3 linked regions of the Daphnia pulex genome follow. The main gene of each other region encodes a partner of the protein of the gene in region 3 in a complex. Links are inferred from orthologs where the notes say so. Each region holds a gene or a part of one and is shown on either strand. Other genes may lie near its edges.

Region 1 (6,100 bases), on a different chromosome or scaffold from region 3:
GACGTAACTTCTCCGTCTGGTCCCTTACCCTTTCCGTCGCTATTGAATGTGGACATTTCTGGCGATAACAATTTCAATTGCAATGACCAGCATGTAAAGCAAGCACTTTGCCGCTTTGATAACTTAAAGCGGACTGAAAATCCACAAGGGAAAATCGTTAACAGGAAATTTATACTTGAAAACGCAAATAACACAAACTGTCGCCAACAAATGGCAGCACAATCCATTCTCCAAATGAATTTCAATGACTGTGAGGAAGAAACTGGTTTTCCGTATTCTGGACAACCAGATATTGCGACGCCAAGCAGTAAAACTGATGGCGAATCAGTGACGGAGGAAATTTTCAAACCTAGAACTGATGATGAAGAGGCGCATTCCTACACCATATATATAGTTTTGGGTGTCCTATTAATCCTTTTTATTGTGCTGGTTGTTTTGGCTTTTTATTTTTTTAAAAAGCGTAAAAGTCAAACTGTTAAAGTTCCTGACTGTAGTACCACGACTAAACAAAGTTTTGACAACCCACAATCCATTCAAAGTGAAGTGTAGGGGACACGACCGTGAACTAAACCATCGAAATTGCCTATCTCGTAAATTTCCATTTCGAGAAATAATTAGTATACTATCGGACAGCAATATTTTGTCACGATTATTTGCTGTTTACGTAAAAGTTTAACTTCTTTGTATTGTAATCGCGGTTTGTATTACCCAATGTGTAATGTAATGAACTATTGATTGTAACACGCTATATTATCTAATAAACGAGTACGAGTACGAGAAATTGGCTAATATTCTTACGAAAGTAAAAAATCAAATACGATCTACTAATTTTCAATTATGATATGAATCTAAAGATTTTTTTTTAATGAAATTTTTTTTCCGTGTATTAGACCCTTGAAAACAGTAAAATTCGTACTTAGTTGATGAAGAATATTTTCGGTCGCTATTTTAGTGTTTCAAAGCATTATCTAAAACAAGCAAATCATTAAAATCTTCTTTCAATACATTCATTAACTGAGCCATTCCTTCTTGCTGTGACTTAAGGACCTATAGGAACGAGATCATTCAAAATGAGACAAAGCTAACAAATTAACTTTAAAAATTGTGACAACTTCCTTACTTGTTTCAGATCATCCAAAACATTTGGTTCAATGTTGTACCTCTCAGTCATTCGTTCCGCTGGCGTAAAGGCAGATTGGCGCATTCTTATTTGCGAAAGCAATTCGTTTAAGCGACCCTGATGTTGACAGTGTAAAACATTATTCTATAAACTTAACATTTAATTAGAAAAATATATATGTTACTCGAAATTGCGTAGGGATGCTTAGTTCATTGTGCACAGACTCTAGCTGCACCCGCAAACGTTCCTCTTCTGGCTGTAGAGCAAAACCTTCTTTCCGAGAACATTCTTGCTTTATAAGAACTTTGAGGATTCGATGTTGCAAGTCGATGTATCGTCGTCGCTGTTCACTTAGCGCAACCGATGTTTCTGATGCACGAGATTGCAGGCTTGCTAATTCCTCAGCTAACTTGTCCAGGGTTCCTTGGTGTCGTCGAGTCTCTTTCTCCTGCAATGATTTATTTTTTTCAACTCAACTATTTGCGTAGTGTGAATAAGTTAAATATAGAAATGCGAACCTGTAGGTGTAAATGACGAACAAGGTCACCAAATCCGATCAGTGGTATGGGTATGAAGTTATCGTGATCAGGATTTTCTGATTGAGCTTGTTTCCAAATGCGAGCGTCAATCCCAGCTGGAGGCGATGCTAGATATTCGCGCAATTGTTCGGGTGATGGTCGGACTCTAGGAACACACGAAACGACTCCAAGTGCGCTGAGCTGACCACGAGCCGACTGCATCATCCCAGATGGTTGTTGATTCCAAAGGAAGTTAGACAATTCAATGGCAGGCACTTTATGAATTGCGCCAGTTGCTGAGCGTTCTTGAACACAAATCAAAACCTCTGTCTTATTTGTGTCTAGGCCAGACACGCCCTCGACGGACACATTCAGATTGGGTTTATTGCCCAGCGCCGTAGTTATCACACTGACTAACTGAGCTTGGTCTCGCCTGCAAATTGAATCCATAAATAAATCTATATGCAATTACGGTTTTTATAATTTTATCTACCGAATATCTGTTTCGGGTTTGTTAAACAGCAAAACAATTATTCCATCTTCATTCTTTCCTTGTGGTAGTTTGCTGTAGCCAATGGCTTTAAAGCGACACAATGAATTCTCTGCAGTATATTGGATAGCACTAGCCGTGCCAGAGTAAAATCCTAGACACCAATAACAATGTGAGTAAAATGAAGACATTCTAATATTTAAATTGAACCGCAATTAAGGTGGAGTCAAACCTTTTCCGGTTCCCCAAGCTGCTTGAAGGAGATTCCAACGAGCCAAGATTGCATCGCGCTCATCACCGTAAATGTTACAGTAAAGTACGGATGAGAGAACAGATTCGACAACAGTACCGGCTTGCTGAGCAGGAGCAAACGTTTGTTGTTGTTGTTGACCAAACAGGCCTGTTGTTGGGGCTGTACTTCCAAATGTAGTTCCCAAAGAAAAGCTACTAGAAGCTGGTGTTGTTATCCCGGTTCCTCCCAGAGATGTTCCAAAAGATCCAAATCCTAATACAGAAAAGTAGTCAAATAATTCGTTCCAAGTCATTCCATAAAAAAATATTACCTGTTCCAGAAAAAAGTCCGGACGACGATGAGACAGCAGGGGCTCCAGTGCCAAAACCGAATCCAGCGTTGCTTGTCTGTGGCTGCCCAAAGCTGAATGATGGAGCTCCACCAGTATTAGTTCCACCGAATCCGAAAGCAGGTGTAGTGGTATTTGTTTGTGTTGCACCAAATCCAAACGATGGAGCAGCTGTGCTAGTTTGGGTGGTACCAAATCCAAACGCTGGAGCACCTGAAGTAGGTTGGGTACTGCCAAAACCAAAAGAAGGTACTGTTGCAGTGGTGTTAGTTTGTTGAGAGCCAAATCCTGATGTTGAAGCAGAATTTTGAGGAGTTCCAAATGAAAAGGACTGATTTGCTGTGCTAACTTGCTGCACACCAAAGCCTCCAAATGGAGTAGTACCAGTCTGACCAGTACCTCCAAACAGCCCTCCTAGAAGTGAAAATGAGTCAAATGCATTGCAACACATAAGTTTAATTCTATAAAATTTTATTTGTTATCTCCTATTTCTATGATAAAATAATGAACAATTCTCAATCAGTGTTGTGCTTGAACAAAAATGATTGCAGCATTTGGTTGGACTAGAAAATGTAATCTCAAGAAAAACTAATAAACAGAAAATAAATGAAAAAGCCATGCATTGTAGCATGTTCAACAACGAAGGCAAAATGATTTCACTTAGATAATTATCATTCAAATATATAGTAATGCTGGAGTTGACACTAGTTTGTGTGTATTACCTGTGTTGGATGTAGTAGACTGGGCTGGTTGGAAAAGACTTCCACTAGAAAATGCCATTTCAAGAATAAGTTATCCTTACTTTCTTGTATAAATCTTATTTGGTATCTGTCTAATTGGTAAAAAAGTCGACAAGCCGATTTTCAATGATATCGTTAGCGTTCACGTTCAAAACTTGAAACTACATTTTTTCTGTGGAAGTAGCGAGAAGAAAGGAGGTATATGCCATCTAGCGGTTAACGATGAAGAACCAATCCTTTAACTTTGGCGGAAGACAGAAAAGCGAAAGTCCACCGCAAATATTTCTATTCCGTTCAACCGAAGAAATTTAAATCAACCTCGTCATTCCCGAAGGTCGTCCATTCTCTCCCCTTTTACACGCAAAAAATTAACACAAGAAATTGATCAGAAAACAAGTTTATTAATGATGATTTAACCAAGACAATTTGCATTACATTCCAATCAATTATTCCAATTTAAGAATGAGTGACGGTTGACAAACGAAATTAAACTGGACGGCAGGTCGTCGAATGGGATTCCATGACGGCTCACGACTTGGGCAGCTAAACATGTGAGGGGCCGCACTTTATGAATCAGTCTTTGAAGGGGGCCGTTCACATATGACGTCACGGGCCGAGGGGGGGGAGGGGGGTGCACCTTGTATGACGAATTGTGACGAGGGGGGGTAGGGGGGGTATTCACAGTGGGACGTCACAAGGCACTACACAAGCGCCACCAAGTGGGATATGTTGGCAACTTCCTAAATTTCTTTTAGTTTTTTGGATCGTTAGAGCAAAGCACCTCGTTTGCTTGACCAATTAAGAAAATAATGAACAACATTGTGTTCTGTATTAAAAACTACAGAAAATACAGAAAATAAAGAATTTTTAGGGGCTCAAACAATTTTTAAAAAGGGAGGGGGGTATCTGACTTTGTGACGTCATATTAGAGGGGGGGTATACCTACTGTGATGAATTGTGACAAAGGGGGGAGGGGGGGGGGTGTAAAATCGTCAAAAAGTCCGTGACGTCATATGTGAACGGCCCCAAGGTAAACATTTGAGATCCCGTTTTCAGCCAGTTCTTTTTCCTTTAGTTTAAAGAGGTCCAAAGGTGTTATGCCCACATCATCGGGCTGGTCGATATGAGCATCCGAGTCCAACAACTGTAACTGGATGGCGTCTATGGTGTTGATCGACCAGCGCTCCCATTCAATACTGGCCAGCACGTGAAGGGCCGTCATTCCGTTGGACGAGGTGGCACTTGGGTCGACTCCGAGTTCCAGTAACAATTTCATGACGTTTAGGGGAAAGAGTTTCGTTATAATTGTGTAGGAGCAGCAGGCAAGATGGAGGAGATTGCCCTTTTCGACTATTTTAAATCTGTAGTCGTCTCCAATGAAATTGTAGAGAGTCCGCTTGAATCGGTGAAGTTCTTGTTCATTCAGTGTTGGAAGGAGTTCAGTCAAAATGTCGATCTGGTCGATAATCAACCATTCGACTCCACCAGTCCATTCGTTTCCGATATAGTAGTCCAGCTTCACATGATGTTCCAAGGAATATTCCATTACGGTCATAATATTGGCGAAGGTGAACTCTTCTCTGTCGGAGCTCGGCAGGTCCATGAGCTCGATGAAACTTCCAACCATGATTTTAATTACTTTGGTGATCATACTGTTGACAAATGGATCGTCCCATTCTTTTTCGAGTCCTTGGAACTGACCCATCATGTACATGCCGATGCTGATGGCTCGATTGAACTGCCTTTCATGGTGGAATGCACCGGCGTATTCGCACATGTGGGCGAGGATATATTTATGTTGCTCAGGATCGGATTGATGCAGCATCCTCTGACTGACTAACAAGGCCTGAGTGTCGAGATTCATTTCAGGGACGACAAAGTTAAGCTGTGCTTCCAGTTGGTCGAGGTGTTCCAGAGTCGTGAATTCGGAAGTGAAGCCCATCGCCTTGGCAAAAAGATACGAGGACTGAGGGGGAATTACTTTGGGGATCACCGGTTCTCCATCGACGGTCGAATGACGAAGTCTCATGGCTTCTTTCCAGATGAAAATGGCGTACTTCGAGGAATCCCTGTTGTAGAAAACGTAGGCGGCTCCCATCAATTCCAGCACTTCGATTTTATCCTCTCGACTGATCGAACTCGACTTGATTCCCTCCATGTCGGCGATGACCTTATCCAACTGTCCGTGTTGGATGGTGATAAACTGAGATATTATGCCCAGCTGGCGACTTATGATGGCTGCGCACAAAGGTGAGACATTGCAATACTTTGTTCCATTCCACTCAAATGTCCCGTGACATCCCGTAACATCGACTCCGAAATTGGCTATCAGAAATGCGACGACTTTATAACACTCGTGCCGAATTGCGGTCATCATCATGGGGGAAGTTCCATGCTCGTCGACTGACGTGGCTAGTACTTTTGTGATTTCTGGTCCTTGAGTGGCAAGTATTTCCTCCAATTCAGTTATCGATTCCGATATCACTGCTGCAAGAAAGATGAATTGCAAAACTCTCCAATCATCATCTGATGTGTCCATTTTGATTTTCAAGTAGGTTTCGAACTAGTTCGAAAAAGTTCTGTTGAAACATTTGTAAAGGTTTAATACTTTCACAAATATTTAGGAACTCTACACTTCTAATAATTAAAAG
Region 2 (6,100 bases), on a different chromosome or scaffold from region 3:
TGGCGGTTCCAAAGCTCGTTTCAATTGCCGTGACGCGATTTGGTGGTGGTTGCAATCCATTTGCGATTATTGCCGTCTGGCTCCCAGGGGTCACACGATCTTGGACGACGCCGTTACCCGTCTCTTCCCTGATGATGAATCGCCTCCGTTGCCAGCTGGAGCCAAAGTATGATTTGATATTAAATCACTAGTAGTATTAACAATTCATGAAATTATATAATTTCTTTTTTAATTAATTAACAACAGAATCAGCCGCTGTGCGACGTGATGCAAGAAGCCCTTCAACGCCATTTCCAGGGTGTAGAATTCCGCGAACGTAATGCTGGATTCGCCATCGATCGCGAAATGTTGGATGCAGGCTTCAACAATAAGGTCGGCGTCAGCGTCGAAACTGGATTTGTTTTCGGTGGCAACGCCCATAATTGCGGAACTTGGATGGACAAGATGGGATCAAGCGCTAAGGCCGGTAACAAGGGAGAACCAGCAACTCCTCGTGACGGTTCTGCTGTTGAGATCGTTGGCCTTTCTCGCTCCGTCGTTGGATATTTGTGGGAATTGTTTACAGCTGGAACTTATCCGTACGCCGGCGTCGAGCGGGTTAACGAAGACGGAACTAAGACTCGCTGGACTTACGACGAATGGGCTCGTCAAATTGATCGCAACTTTGAGCGACATTTCTGGATTAATGTCGATCCAGAACCAACGGCCGAACCCCATCCTGAGCTTATCAATCGTCGAGGCATCTACAAAGATTCTTATATGGCATCCAAACCCTGGGCTGATTATCAATTGAGACCTAACTTTGTGGTCGCCATGGCTGTGGTAAGAATAACGGATTTCTATCATTTTTATCTTTCTCACATTAACTGTTTCATTACGTTTACGTTTAAAGGCTCCGACCATGTTTACACCATCGAGAGCATGGCAAGCATTACAAATGGCTCTTCAGCACTTGTTAGGACCATTGGGCATGGCAACTTTGGACAATTCTGATTGGTCCTACCGACCAGATTATTGCAATTCGGACGAAGGAGATGATCCCAGCACGGCTCACGGTTTCAACTACCACCAAGGACCCGAGTGGCTCTGGCCAGTTGGTTTCCTACTCCAAGCCATGCTTTATTTCGCTCCATTGGTCGGCGGAGTCTCCGAACTCAGAAAAACCATCCGCAAAGTCAAGTCTATTTTATCGCGCCACTTTGTCGAAATTCAACAATCGCCCTGGCGCTCACTTCCCGAGCTTACCAATAAAAATGGCAAAGTCTGTAATGATTCGAGTCCAGCTCAAGCCTGGTCTATGGCCACCATTCTCGAGGTGATGAAAAAAAAATAAATATTACAATTTTTGAATTTAATGTACTAACTTGGTCATTTTGTCACTTTTCAGGTTTTGCATGAACTGGACAATATCGAACATAAACAGAAACTAAGCATCACCGCATTGTGAACTTAGAATTGTGATTGAATTCTTTTGTTGCCCCGGGGTCCTTAGTTGCTTTTCAGAATTCGAAATATACGCAGTTCTATTACTAGGGAAAAAGAAGAAGAGAGTAGTTTAAACTTATGTTTCCCACCTTCAGCCGCACCCGTACATTATATTATTAGCGTTTTCCCACTTCAGCGCATGTGTTGTTCTTCCACAATTTTAAAAACATTTTTTGTCGATTTAATTATGTTTGTTATTCACTTGGTGGAGAATTCTATTATGCCGCTTTCCAAAAGCAGTGTTGTAATTTGTAGCAATACACGGCGTCATGCCTGCTAGTGAATATACTCGTTCTTTTTGCCTCAACTCAAATTTTGTCATAAAATTAGTGTACCAACGAGTTTGGTTTTCAATCGCTAGGTGGCGCTGAACGGTAAATGTAGTTCTGCCGTTTGCCGGTTTGGAAATTTAGATTCGTCTGAAACGAATTTGTTTCTCAGCTGCCCGCGCGATTGCAACTGTAGAAACGAGTTAAAAACATGTCTAGTTGTCTTAAAGGAAATCTTTCTGGCTTTTCTCTTCTCGGATTGCGTGAAGTAATTCCAGATCAGACAGGCATAGAACAATGGAAGGAACTATTACTGAATACGGGTAATTCAAGTGAACTTGTTGAGCTACACCGGCTACAGTTCTTTCTTTTTCAACCGAAACGGTGTCGCTTTTCTTAAACACTGACCTGTATTCTGTTTTAACCAGGTGGAACTCATTTGACACTCCAAGATATTAAACTACCTGAAGGTTGCACAGCAGGAGGATACTGTTTCACTGATTCCAATTCAACTGTCACTCGGAACCGTTTCATATGCTGGTACAGCTATCATTTACATAATTTAAATGCTGCTGTAAGTAAGACTCATTCTGTATTATTTGTTTTGAACAGGCAAATTTCCAATGATGTCCTGGAGCTAGTAGAACACAGTTTAGACTTGAACTTACACGGCAACTGTCTTCGAATCAGATTTCAAGGCCTTCCATTATTAGAGGGGACATCCATTCATGAAACAAAAAATAATGTAGTTATTCTCGTCTCCACCATATCTTCAGTTCATCGTTTGGTTCTACCACATCCAAAAAAACACAATGATCCTACAGCATTCAACTCAATGGGGACCAACATTTCTGTACCATCCATCTTTACTGAAGCATCCCTTCCCTGGTTGAGGGAATCATTGAGCCACCAGGTCATCAACAGCACCGCCACCAATTTTTCACTCCCCAGCACTGCTGCATCTTACTTTTCTGGAAAAAGTAAAGAAGCATTGTTTGCTTTGGCAAACACTTCGTCGATTTCTCTCATTCGTATGGGTCAATCTCCTTCGGCAGTTACCACATATAATTTGCAGCCTTCCTCAAATTTATCACGTTTACTTTCTGGTTACCTGCCTACTGTGTTAAGAGGAAGCTCATCACAGGAAAACGAAGATACTACGGCAAGCATTTGTTTATTGCCGACAAATGACGACGTTCTTGTGCTGGCCGTCAGCAAAGGCTTGAAATTGCGAATTTGGTCAGCAGCAACCCAGGAGTGTCGTTTGGAGTTCGATTTGGTTGAATTCTTCGGAGACAAATCAGTCAAGCAGCTTGGCTCTCTTCACAGAATCCGGTGGTGTCCTGACGGCGTCGACTTCAAACTGGTCGTCTTCTCGTCCTTTGGCAAGAATAGATCTTTTCTTCTCATTGATCTACAGACGGGCCCTACACTCAAGCTCAATTTCCAGTCATCCGTTACTGCACAACATAGTCGTTTAATCGACTTCAGCCTGACTTCAAATCACCTTTATGCACTATGGAGCACTTCGCGGGGTGAATATCTGTTGGAATTCGCCGAAACGACCCTGCTAGAGTGGCAACAGGTTGCGTTGGAACCTGGCGTCGATTCGGAAATTGAATACGACGATACCGTCGTTGACCCTAAACAAGCGTACATGCAGGCACTTTTCAAACCGGGCGTATTCTCGATTTCAACCTTGAGTAAGGCTCTGCAAGCTTTTGATCGTTCGGCATCGACAAGTAGGAGGAGACCTGGAGATATAAAAGAAGACATCATTATGGCTATCGAGGTTGAACTGAAAGAGCAGATTTCCGATGCAGATGATGTGACAGAAGAACTTTATCTGCAACTTTCGGCCAAATACTGGGCCCAATTCTACGCCTATGCTGTTCAGTATCATTTGAAGCGGCCAATTCCTGTTGGTTTACTCATTGATGACGAAACTGGCTTCCATGCTCTACTTAAACGAGGAATGGTTTCATTTTTGCGTCCGTTGGATCTGGTTGAGAGTTTGGTTTTGCAACGAGGCCGTCGCTGGGATATGCAGCCATTTTCGAGTGGAATTGCTTCGCTTTTCGGGGGTCAGCAATCAACTTCTGGCCTTACTGCTCTGCTCGAGGTAACATTTCTTTTATTTGTTGTGTACATAGATTTTGACGAATTTTGTTCTTTTACAGATTCTGTTTGTGGTCAGCGATAGTTTGTCAACGGAGCAAATAAAGCGCTTTGATCAATCAATGTTTCAGTTGGAAAGTGCAGATCAAATTGCCAGGGATATTGCTGATGAACTGCTGGAGAACGAATCAATTAATTTGCTCAACGCTGTCCAAATGGCTTTGTCTTCTGTTGACATTTGCCTGGCCTTGTCTGTTCTTCTCCAACAGCTCAGCGTCGGCATGAATGGAGGCGATCCCAAATTTGGCGAAGTTTCCTTCAATAATAAAAGTTCCTTTCGTTTGCTTTTCAATGGAAGTCTTGGATTGGGAGCATTAGCCGAATCATCCCGACAGATGGCTGATTTAAGGTAGTAATTCAGAAAATGTTTCATTACCTTTTTAAATTAAAATGATGTTACTTTCGCAGGTTGGAATTGTGTCGAGATGTACTGATTGTACAGCAGTTGCTTATATTAACACAGAAGAAGCTTCAGCTGCGTCCCGAAGATGCCGAAACCATTCGCTCAGAGTTCCTCCCTCGTAGCGTCCCCCTGGCTCACGCCTACTATGCTTTATCTTGGTTATGCCACTTCCCGGCCCAAACGGTTTCCAATTCCCTCACCGAACAAAATATTCGCACAATGGCTTTGTTGGGATTCAAAAAATCTCAAGAGTCTTACGGTAAGTTTGAAAACATCTAAATTTCCCATTTTTCCAAATTGAAATAATACTGATTAAACAATTCCATAGCGACTTTGCCGTGCAAGAGCTTGGTTGAACTCTTCCTATCCTTGGATGGAGGTCAAGCTGTACGAGAAATGGTCCTGCAGGAAGAAGATGCTGCTGAATGGACGTCCTCTTGGTTAGATGTTTTCCCACACTTTATGAAAGCCATTGGCCAGCTGCTTTGGCCCATTGGAAATCACATGACTTTCATGGAATTTCTGATGGAACGCTTCCAACCCTTGGCCGTACAGGGATACGTCCGCCTGCAACAGAACTGGTTTGTAAATATTGTACTTCAATATTAGATGCGTTTATTGATTTTTTTAAATGCAAATTCCGCCCAGGTGTGAATGGAATACGTGCTCTCGAAAATTTCTGATGGCTGTCGCACTTGTGGCTACCGGTGAAGGAGATAAAGCCAGTAAGTGGATGCTTGAAGCTGCTGAAGGAATCATCAAAGAACAACTTCTTCACTCGATTGTCACAAAGGGAGCGAATGAAAGTGGTGACGCTGGAAGTCGTGCTGATCCGGTGATGCGCTTTCATCTCATATGCGTCCAATTGTTAGAGCAGGCGGGACTATGCAGTGCTGCTCTTCGTGTGGCTCTTGTAGCCCTAAACAGTAGTAAAACGGACGACCCCCTTTTGCCTACAATATGGTCGATTGTTGCCAAGCTTCATTTGAACTTGGGCCACTATCAGGTAATAAATCAAACGCATTTTATCAGATTTCACGCCCTTACGTATCCATTCACTGCTAATAGGAAGCATACGAAGCCATCGTAAATAATCCGGATAGCAGTCAGCGACCTGAAACTCTTGGACGTCTGGTCAATATTTTGCTGGAACGCAAGCAGATGGATATTCTTTTAACTTTCCCTTACGCCGGATTGGAATCAGAATTGGAAAAAATTGTGGAGAGAAGGGCTCGCTCATCAGATGTTCTATCTATGACGCTTTATTACTCCTTTCTCTATGCATTTCACGTCCGCCAGGGTAAAATGCGCAAAGCTGCCGCTGTGATGCACGAACAGGTAATGTGTACTATCAACCACTTTAGGCCTTGGATCACCGTTACTGATGTAATTTGTTTCATTAAAGGCACTTCGATATGGATGTGAAGGAGAGTCAGCCAAAATGGTCAAATGTCTTTTGGCTTGTCTCAACGCCCTGCGCCTAGTCTCTAGACAGGAAGCCTGGTTGGTTAAACCAGTAACTACGTTGAATCGTAAGGATTCATCAGAACCGTTTAGACATACGGTTGACGTCATCGAGTATGCTGATATTGAAAAAGAATATGAACTCAGCTACGCTTGTATCAATCTTGGACAGTCAATCACATCTCTTTCTCCTTCGGACGTGGTAGCGCTTTTGACTTCACGCAACCGCTACGAATCGGCACTGCGCATTGCCAGGATCTTTGACGTCAAAGGTATTTTTTATTATTGTTATTACCTTGTC
Region 3 (6,100 bases):
CCCCAACAAGTTCTGGATGAAAACCGTCATATGAATCATCTGAAAAAAAAAAAGAGAGGGGGAGGGGGCTGATGAGTGAGTATCTCAATTTGAGAGATTAAGTTGGAGAACTAAGAATTATTACCAAGACCACCAGAATTGTCAAAACTATTTTCAAACTCTGGGGTATCTTTGTGGAAATGGTCATCGTCTTCGTTATTGATGTCCTGTTGGTCCATTTCTTCGATCCCTTCCGCGATATTTTCTTTATTGATAGGAGTAAAGGACACATTACTCCACATTCTTTTGCGAATTATTCAAAATATACTGACTTTCAGGCCGAAGTTTTTGTTGTTTTTTAATGACGGTCCCAGTTGTTTTCGTAAAGTGTACGTAATCTTCCCAGAATTCGGTATCAGGCTGGGAATATTTTAAGGCAGGCTTTTTAACGATTTGACTTTTCCCTAGAAATTCGTCTATTTCAACGCAAATTTCTTCATTTATGGGAACCTTCCCCACCCCTTTCCGTTTTCTCCTGTAAGCGATTGTTTGATAAATGACGTAATAAAGCAGTTTGACCGAAAATCGGAACTTACAAGGCAACAGGCATCTTGCATCGAACCGGAGCTCCACAAGGTTTCTTTAAAGCGTCACTTTCGGAATAGGGATCCATACCACCCCAAGGATCTTTTTCTTTTACTTGATTCTCCTGTAAAAAGATGATCAATAATGTAATAAAAAATTTATCTAAAAAAATATTACACATTCGTTCTAATAAAAAAAAAAAAACAGAATTAATGAGTACCACAGAAATTGGAGCCGGAGCTCTCTGGCGTAGTTGCATTCTCTCAACAACTTCTTCGGTTAAACCGTTGGAGTTCCCGTTTTCTTCGAGGTCATCTGGAATGATTTCGTTTTCTGAGGCCATTTCTCCGTCATTTTGCCAATCATCCAAGTTAGGAGGTTCGACTTCTAGATCATCTTGGTGCATAGACGTTATAGGAACTGGTTCGGTTGGCACCAAATCTGCGACGGAATGTTCAGCTTCTTCGTTAAAAATAAAATAAATTAATAAACGGAAAAAAATATCCACATTTTTCATTTTACCTTGGTTTTCGTTAAGGACATCTCTCTCGGGATGTACTTTAAATCCGTTTGCGTGATGGATTTGCAAAAACAAAGTGTAAGGGTCAAAGGGGAAATTAGATCTTAGATCAGAGGGGTAACCCAAATGCTCGTTTGAAAGTGTGTAGAGTTTAATTTTAACAGAATTTAAGCTTCCTATAACTTCTTCTAGTTGCAAGATTTCATACGGTAAAGTTTGGATCTTTTTTGTGTCTTTGGCTGTAGCTTTTCTCTTTAATTTTGAGCCAAACTTTCTAAACTTCAGTGGAATTGGTTCTGTGATAAGATCTACATCTCCTTTGTGATGTTTTTTTCGGTGATTTCTTCTTATCTTGGAGCCAGGTGTTTGATTTTCATCATTTTCATTACCATTCCTATAGAGAGTAGAGAGAAATGTGTTTTATTAGAAAGTAAAACATTGTACAGTACATGATTTTAGTTACCCATTCGAACTTAAAAACTCAATCACTTCTTGGAGAAGAAGCCAGAGCTGCTCAACTTTCTTGCTATAGATTTGTGCACTATTCTGTACAACCATAGCAGCCTTAGCAAAATCTAGCTTCATTTGCTCCCCGTTTACATTAACTTCAATCCGCAAATCTTGAATATACTGGACATATTCCTCCAATTTATCAGCTATATTCAGCTCCCAACATCCTTGTTTAGTAAGCTCTCGAATTGGCTTAAGAAGAGCAGCAAATTGAGAACTGAAAACATCATCTTCTTCAACAGAACTCCCACTCGAATTCGCAAGACCAGGGCCCATTGTTTAACACGACTGCGAAACTTATTACAACAAAAAATATCTCGAATCTTTAACTATTTCAGAAAAAGAAGAACATTTTTCATATTGAAAAATAAACTGTCAGCCACTTTGCCTGAACAAACAAGAAAACACAACAATTCAAAAATTGAATTTTGGAGTAAACGTAAGTGTTGCGTTTAGTTCTGAAGTACAAGGCCCACTATGCAACTAAATCAAGGGTCAAACTTTGGTGGCCATGTACGTAGCGCCACCTATAATGACTCTCAGTGTTTAGATTTTTGCGAAAACTAACCAAAACTCTTTAATTTTGCAACAATCAAATTCTAATTAAAATATTTTACACCTCTTAAATTTCGTGTCATCATAGTGTAAACATATTGAATTGCTAAATGCAAGTTAATGAATACTAACCGCTGGAAGACGCAGTCAAACGGCCTTCTTTCTATTCTCATTCTTGTGCGCCGCAACTGCTTTTTGCCTTTCGTAATTCGTATGAGCACCGTCTTGCCTTTTCAACGTTTCATTGAATTGTCAGCAAGTTCATACGACTCCCGCGTGCTGAGATTACTGTTGTGTTCTAAAAACTTGTGTGACGACCGCTAGCCATTGTAAGTTCAAATTGTGAGTTCTCCGAGATTAAGACTTCTGTGGTGTTGCATTTCGTACTCCATAAATATTGGGAGACATTTTTGACATTTTCTTTTTTACTTAGCTGCGGAGTGTGCCGGCTTCTTCAATGATACATCTTTAAAAATGTTTGGACAAAATAGACCCACTTTTGGAGCCCCAACATCAAATACTTTTGGTAATGCATCCAGACAATTATTATTCTTTACCATTGCATAAGCATATTTCATGTTTACAAATGTATCTTATCTTGTCATTACGTCACCATTTAAATTTCAACATTTTTTGTTTGCCCTCCATTGTTTGTTGCATTTAGGCGGTTTCGGTACAAATACATCAACAGGATTTGGGCAGTCTTCGTTTGGGGCAAAGCCAACTGGAACGGCTGCACCAACTTTCCAATCTACAGGTTTTGGATCAAATACCTCGATGTTTGGAAGCACAGGTACTACAACAAGCCAACCCTCGGGAGGTTTGTTTGGTACACCTACTGCCACTTTTGGAGCAGCACAACCTACAGCAGGATTTGGAGCACCTGCAACTAATACTGGCTTTGGAGGTATTTTATGTTTTATAGTTACATTTCATCAAACAGTAGATATCTTTGATGAACTTCATTAATTTGCAATCAAAGAGCACTTAATCATGTTGTTGGTTTTGTAACAAAAGGATTTGGTGGTGGGACTTCAGGGGGGAGCTTATTTGGAGCCCCTGCTGCTTCAACTGGTATGTTTGGATCTAATACCCAACAAACTGCCCCTTCAACTGGTACAACTGGCATGTTTGGAGCAGCCACCAATACAGGATTTGGAGCTCAAGCTAAACCTACATTTGGCTTTGGAGCAACTAGTACCTCCAGTAGCTTGTTTGGACAACCCCAATCCCAGCCCACTCAAACCACCTCACTTTTTGGACAGCCCACAGCACAAGCAACGCCGTCAACGGGTACTGGTTTGTTTGGGACATCATCTTTTGGTAACACAATTGGGGGATTTGGTGGTACTGGTGGAGCCATTACTGGTACCCCAGTAAAATTCAGTCCTCTAACAGGGACAGACTCTATGGTATAATATTTATTCATACACATATTTTTCTCTATGAATTATAATTTTCATTTTGTGGTCTTTAGATGAAAAACAATGTCCAAACGACAATAAACACACACCATCAGTGTATAACATGCATGAAAGAATATGACAATAAATCTTTGGAAGAACTTAGATTTGAAGACTACTCTGTAGGACGGAAAGGACCGACCCCGGGAACCGCACCACAAACTGGAGGATTATTTGGTGGGACCACTACGACTACCCAATCAACTCCGTTATTTGGACAAACTCAACAGACGCCCCTTTTCGGAACACCAGCACCCAGTAAGTATTTTTCTTGTGTATGATGAACAAAAGAGATAATTCGTATGTATTTAGCTATGGGACAGCCGAGCTTATTTGGACAGCCTCAACAGCAACAAGCTCAACCTTCGGCCTTTGGAGCAAAACCCATGGGGTTTGGTCAACCTGCTACTTCCACTCAATCATCATTTGGTTTCGGGACGCCTGCACCTCAACAGCAACAACAGCAGCAACCCAGTCTCTTCGGTCAGCAACAACAAAATAAACCTTTTGGCTCATCGATTTTCGGTCCCCAATCTACGAGCCAACCCACTCCTGCTTTCGGGACACAAACACCCGCTCCCGCATTTGGATTTGGTGCCCCACAACAGGTAATGATAATATTTTTATTTATTCCTTTTTATTTGAGATTGTTTCCTACTTATCGTTTTCTTTTTATTTCTGATTATTGCAGACCAGTCAAAGCTTTTTCAACACTCCAAAGCCAGCAATGGGAGTTCAGACTTCAACAGCAGGTTTTGGTTTTCCTCAAACGACAACCACTCAGTCCGCTGGATCCAACATCTTCGGTGCGAAACCAATAACTGGTTTTGGAGCGACACCTACCCCTGCATTTGGAACTACTCCCGCTCAAACAACGACGCCAGCGTTCGGTGGATTTGGTACATCAGGTTAGATCAGGAAATTGTTTTTGTTGTTTGTTTGTGTTTGCACCAAAAAAAATTTCGACTGTATTTTTTATAGGTACTACTGGAACTGGGTTGTTCACACCTGGACAAACGGCTTTTGGAGTCAAACCAGCCGGGCAAACATTTGGTGCGGTGACATCAACTCCGTCGACTCTAGGATTCGGTCAAAATACAATGTTCGGCGGGGCATCGGCTGCAAATGCAAAGCCCAGTCCATTTGGCGGTACTCCCTTTGGAAGTTCTGGCTTTGGCACTACACCTAGCTTTGGAACAGCTACTGGTGGGATGGGTACTGGCGCTCCCGGTTCACTCTTTGGGAACACAAGTATTGGAGCACCCTCAACTTCAATGTCTTTCGGAACGACGCAGCCTACTACTGGAACTAGCAGTTCCCAGTTGCCTATTCATCAGTATATCTTGACGCTAAGTGAGATTTCTCAGTCTAGTGATCATCCTCTCTTCCGGAAAATGCTGGAACCGTCAGGTAAGCCACTTCGAATGAACACAGTTGAACGCATTTCATTCATTAATTGTTTCATTGCGTTTTCAGGAAAAACAGAAGAATTGATCAAATCAAGCGCCCGTACCAGTTTGTCCAACGGGGCTGCACCAACTCCTCCTCAATACCGTATCTCACCCCTTCCCTCGAATAAAATCCGCACGAAAGCTTTGCTTAACGGATCCTCGACTGGTGGTGGAAGACGTTCGATTTTTGAAGGATTGAGCGACGAAGAAGAAGGTGAGGAGAACGGAGCTGGATCGGAAGCGAAAACAGATTTCTTCGTACCTCGACGAAGTGTCAAGAAACTTCAACTGAAAGCCATTTCCCTCGACACTACCGTCGATACTGATAATAAGCCGGACGATGATGCTGAACCCATCAAATCAGCACCGTTAATCACACCTTCTGAAGAAAGACCTGTTGTCCTAGACTCTCGACCAGATCTTAGAGTCCGAGAAGAACTTGATGATAGTTTGACTGTGTTGAAGATACGTAGACCAACTGTTGCGTTCCTTAACCAATCAGCGATGCTAGAACGCAGTAGTATGCTGGATGAAACTGGCCTTGGAGAAGGGGAAGTCACTGTTGCAGAGGAAATCAGTGAAACAGTCGAAGAAGAAATCGTGCCTCCTCACCCTGCTGGCATAGTTTTACGTCGTTGCGGATATTCGACAATGCCGACCATGGAAGACTTGGCAATCAAAGGATTGGATGAAAATGGGAAGTGTATTATTACTTCGTTTTCTATTATTCGTCAGGGCTATGGTCGAATATTTTTCGAAGGCCCTTTGGATGTCGCGAACTTGAATCTGGATGAAATTGGTTAGTGACCTCACAATAATTCTTTAAAAAAACGTATTGTTAACCCTCTTTTTTTGTTGTCTAGTATTGTTTCGCCACAAGGAAGTGACTGTATACCCCGATGATTCAAAGAAACCTCCTGAAGGAGAAGGACTAAATCGCAAAGCTGAAATCACTTTGGACCGCGTCTGGCCTGTAGATAAATCCACTGGAGACTACATCACCAATCCTGAGAGATTAGCTGTTTTGCGTTACGAAG

The links. The genes of interacting proteins can lie anywhere in the genome.
Region 1: nuclear pore complex protein Nup98-Nup96-like (region 3) and nuclear pore complex protein Nup54-like share a complex: the UniProt entries of both Drosophila melanogaster proteins name them as parts of the nuclear pore complex. The link is inferred for Daphnia pulex from reciprocal best matches to the Drosophila melanogaster genes Nup98-96 and Nup54.
Region 2: nuclear pore complex protein Nup98-Nup96-like (region 3) and nuclear pore complex protein Nup160-like share a complex: the UniProt entries of both Drosophila melanogaster proteins name them as parts of the nuclear pore complex. The link is inferred for Daphnia pulex from reciprocal best matches to the Drosophila melanogaster genes Nup98-96 and Nup160.

The regions. Positions count from the first base shown.
Region 1 is NC_060022.1:6,651,780-6,657,879, forward strand, and holds nuclear pore complex protein Nup54-like, read right to left. Parts: upstream 3,661-6,100; 5' UTR 3,490-3,660; coding exon 3,432-3,489; intron 3,124-3,431; coding exon 2,692-3,123; intron 2,634-2,691; coding exon 2,361-2,633; intron 2,283-2,360; coding exon 2,132-2,282; intron 2,072-2,131; coding exon 1,639-2,071; intron 1,569-1,638; coding exon 1,305-1,568; intron 1,238-1,304; coding exon 1,121-1,237; intron 1,048-1,120; coding exon 949-1,047; 3' UTR 550-948; downstream 1-549. Other genes in the region: toll-like receptor Tollo, read left to right, coding at 1-549. UniProt on the Drosophila melanogaster protein: Component of the nuclear pore complex (NPC), a complex required for the trafficking across the nuclear envelope. Essential for the nuclear import of nuclear localization signal (NLS)-containing proteins in an importin alpha/importin beta-dependent manner.
Region 2 is NC_060017.1:6,358,575-6,364,674, reverse strand, and holds the start of nuclear pore complex protein Nup160-like, read left to right. Parts: upstream 1-1,842; 5' UTR 1,843-1,965; coding exon 1,966-2,077; intron 2,078-2,182; coding exon 2,183-2,294; intron 2,295-2,366; coding exon 2,367-3,876; intron 3,877-3,934; coding exon 3,935-4,281; intron 4,282-4,340; coding exon 4,341-4,594; intron 4,595-4,663; coding exon 4,664-4,916; intron 4,917-4,983; coding exon 4,984-5,341; intron 5,342-5,403; coding exon 5,404-5,673; intron 5,674-5,740; coding exon 5,741-6,071; intron 6,072-6,100. Other genes in the region: glycogen debranching enzyme-like, read left to right, coding at 1-166, 247-822, 893-1,315, 1,388-1,447. UniProt on the Drosophila melanogaster protein: Functions as a component of the nuclear pore complex (NPC). Involved in poly(A)+ RNA transport. Required for nuclear import of Mad. May play a role in double strand break DNA repair. Essential for nephrocyte development.
Region 3 is NC_060021.1:8,258,649-8,264,748, forward strand, and holds the start of nuclear pore complex protein Nup98-Nup96-like, read left to right. Parts: upstream 1-2,321; 5' UTR 2,322-2,478; exon of another isoform or gene 2,479-2,491; intron 2,492-2,582; 5' UTR 2,583-2,623; coding exon 2,624-2,675; intron 2,676-2,813; coding exon 2,814-3,056; intron 3,057-3,166; coding exon 3,167-3,561; intron 3,562-3,626; coding exon 3,627-3,870; intron 3,871-3,924; coding exon 3,925-4,220; intron 4,221-4,303; coding exon 4,304-4,520; intron 4,521-4,593; coding exon 4,594-5,022; intron 5,023-5,088; coding exon 5,089-5,862; intron 5,863-5,926; coding exon 5,927-6,100. Other genes in the region: condensin-2 complex subunit H2-like, read right to left, coding at 1-39, 125-244, 312-514, 576-688, 785-1,026, 1,087-1,478, 1,548-1,870. UniProt on the Drosophila melanogaster protein: Part of the nuclear pore complex (NPC). Required for MAD import as part of the Nup107-160 complex and required for nuclear export of Moe probably via its association with Rae1. Plays a role in nuclear mRNA export.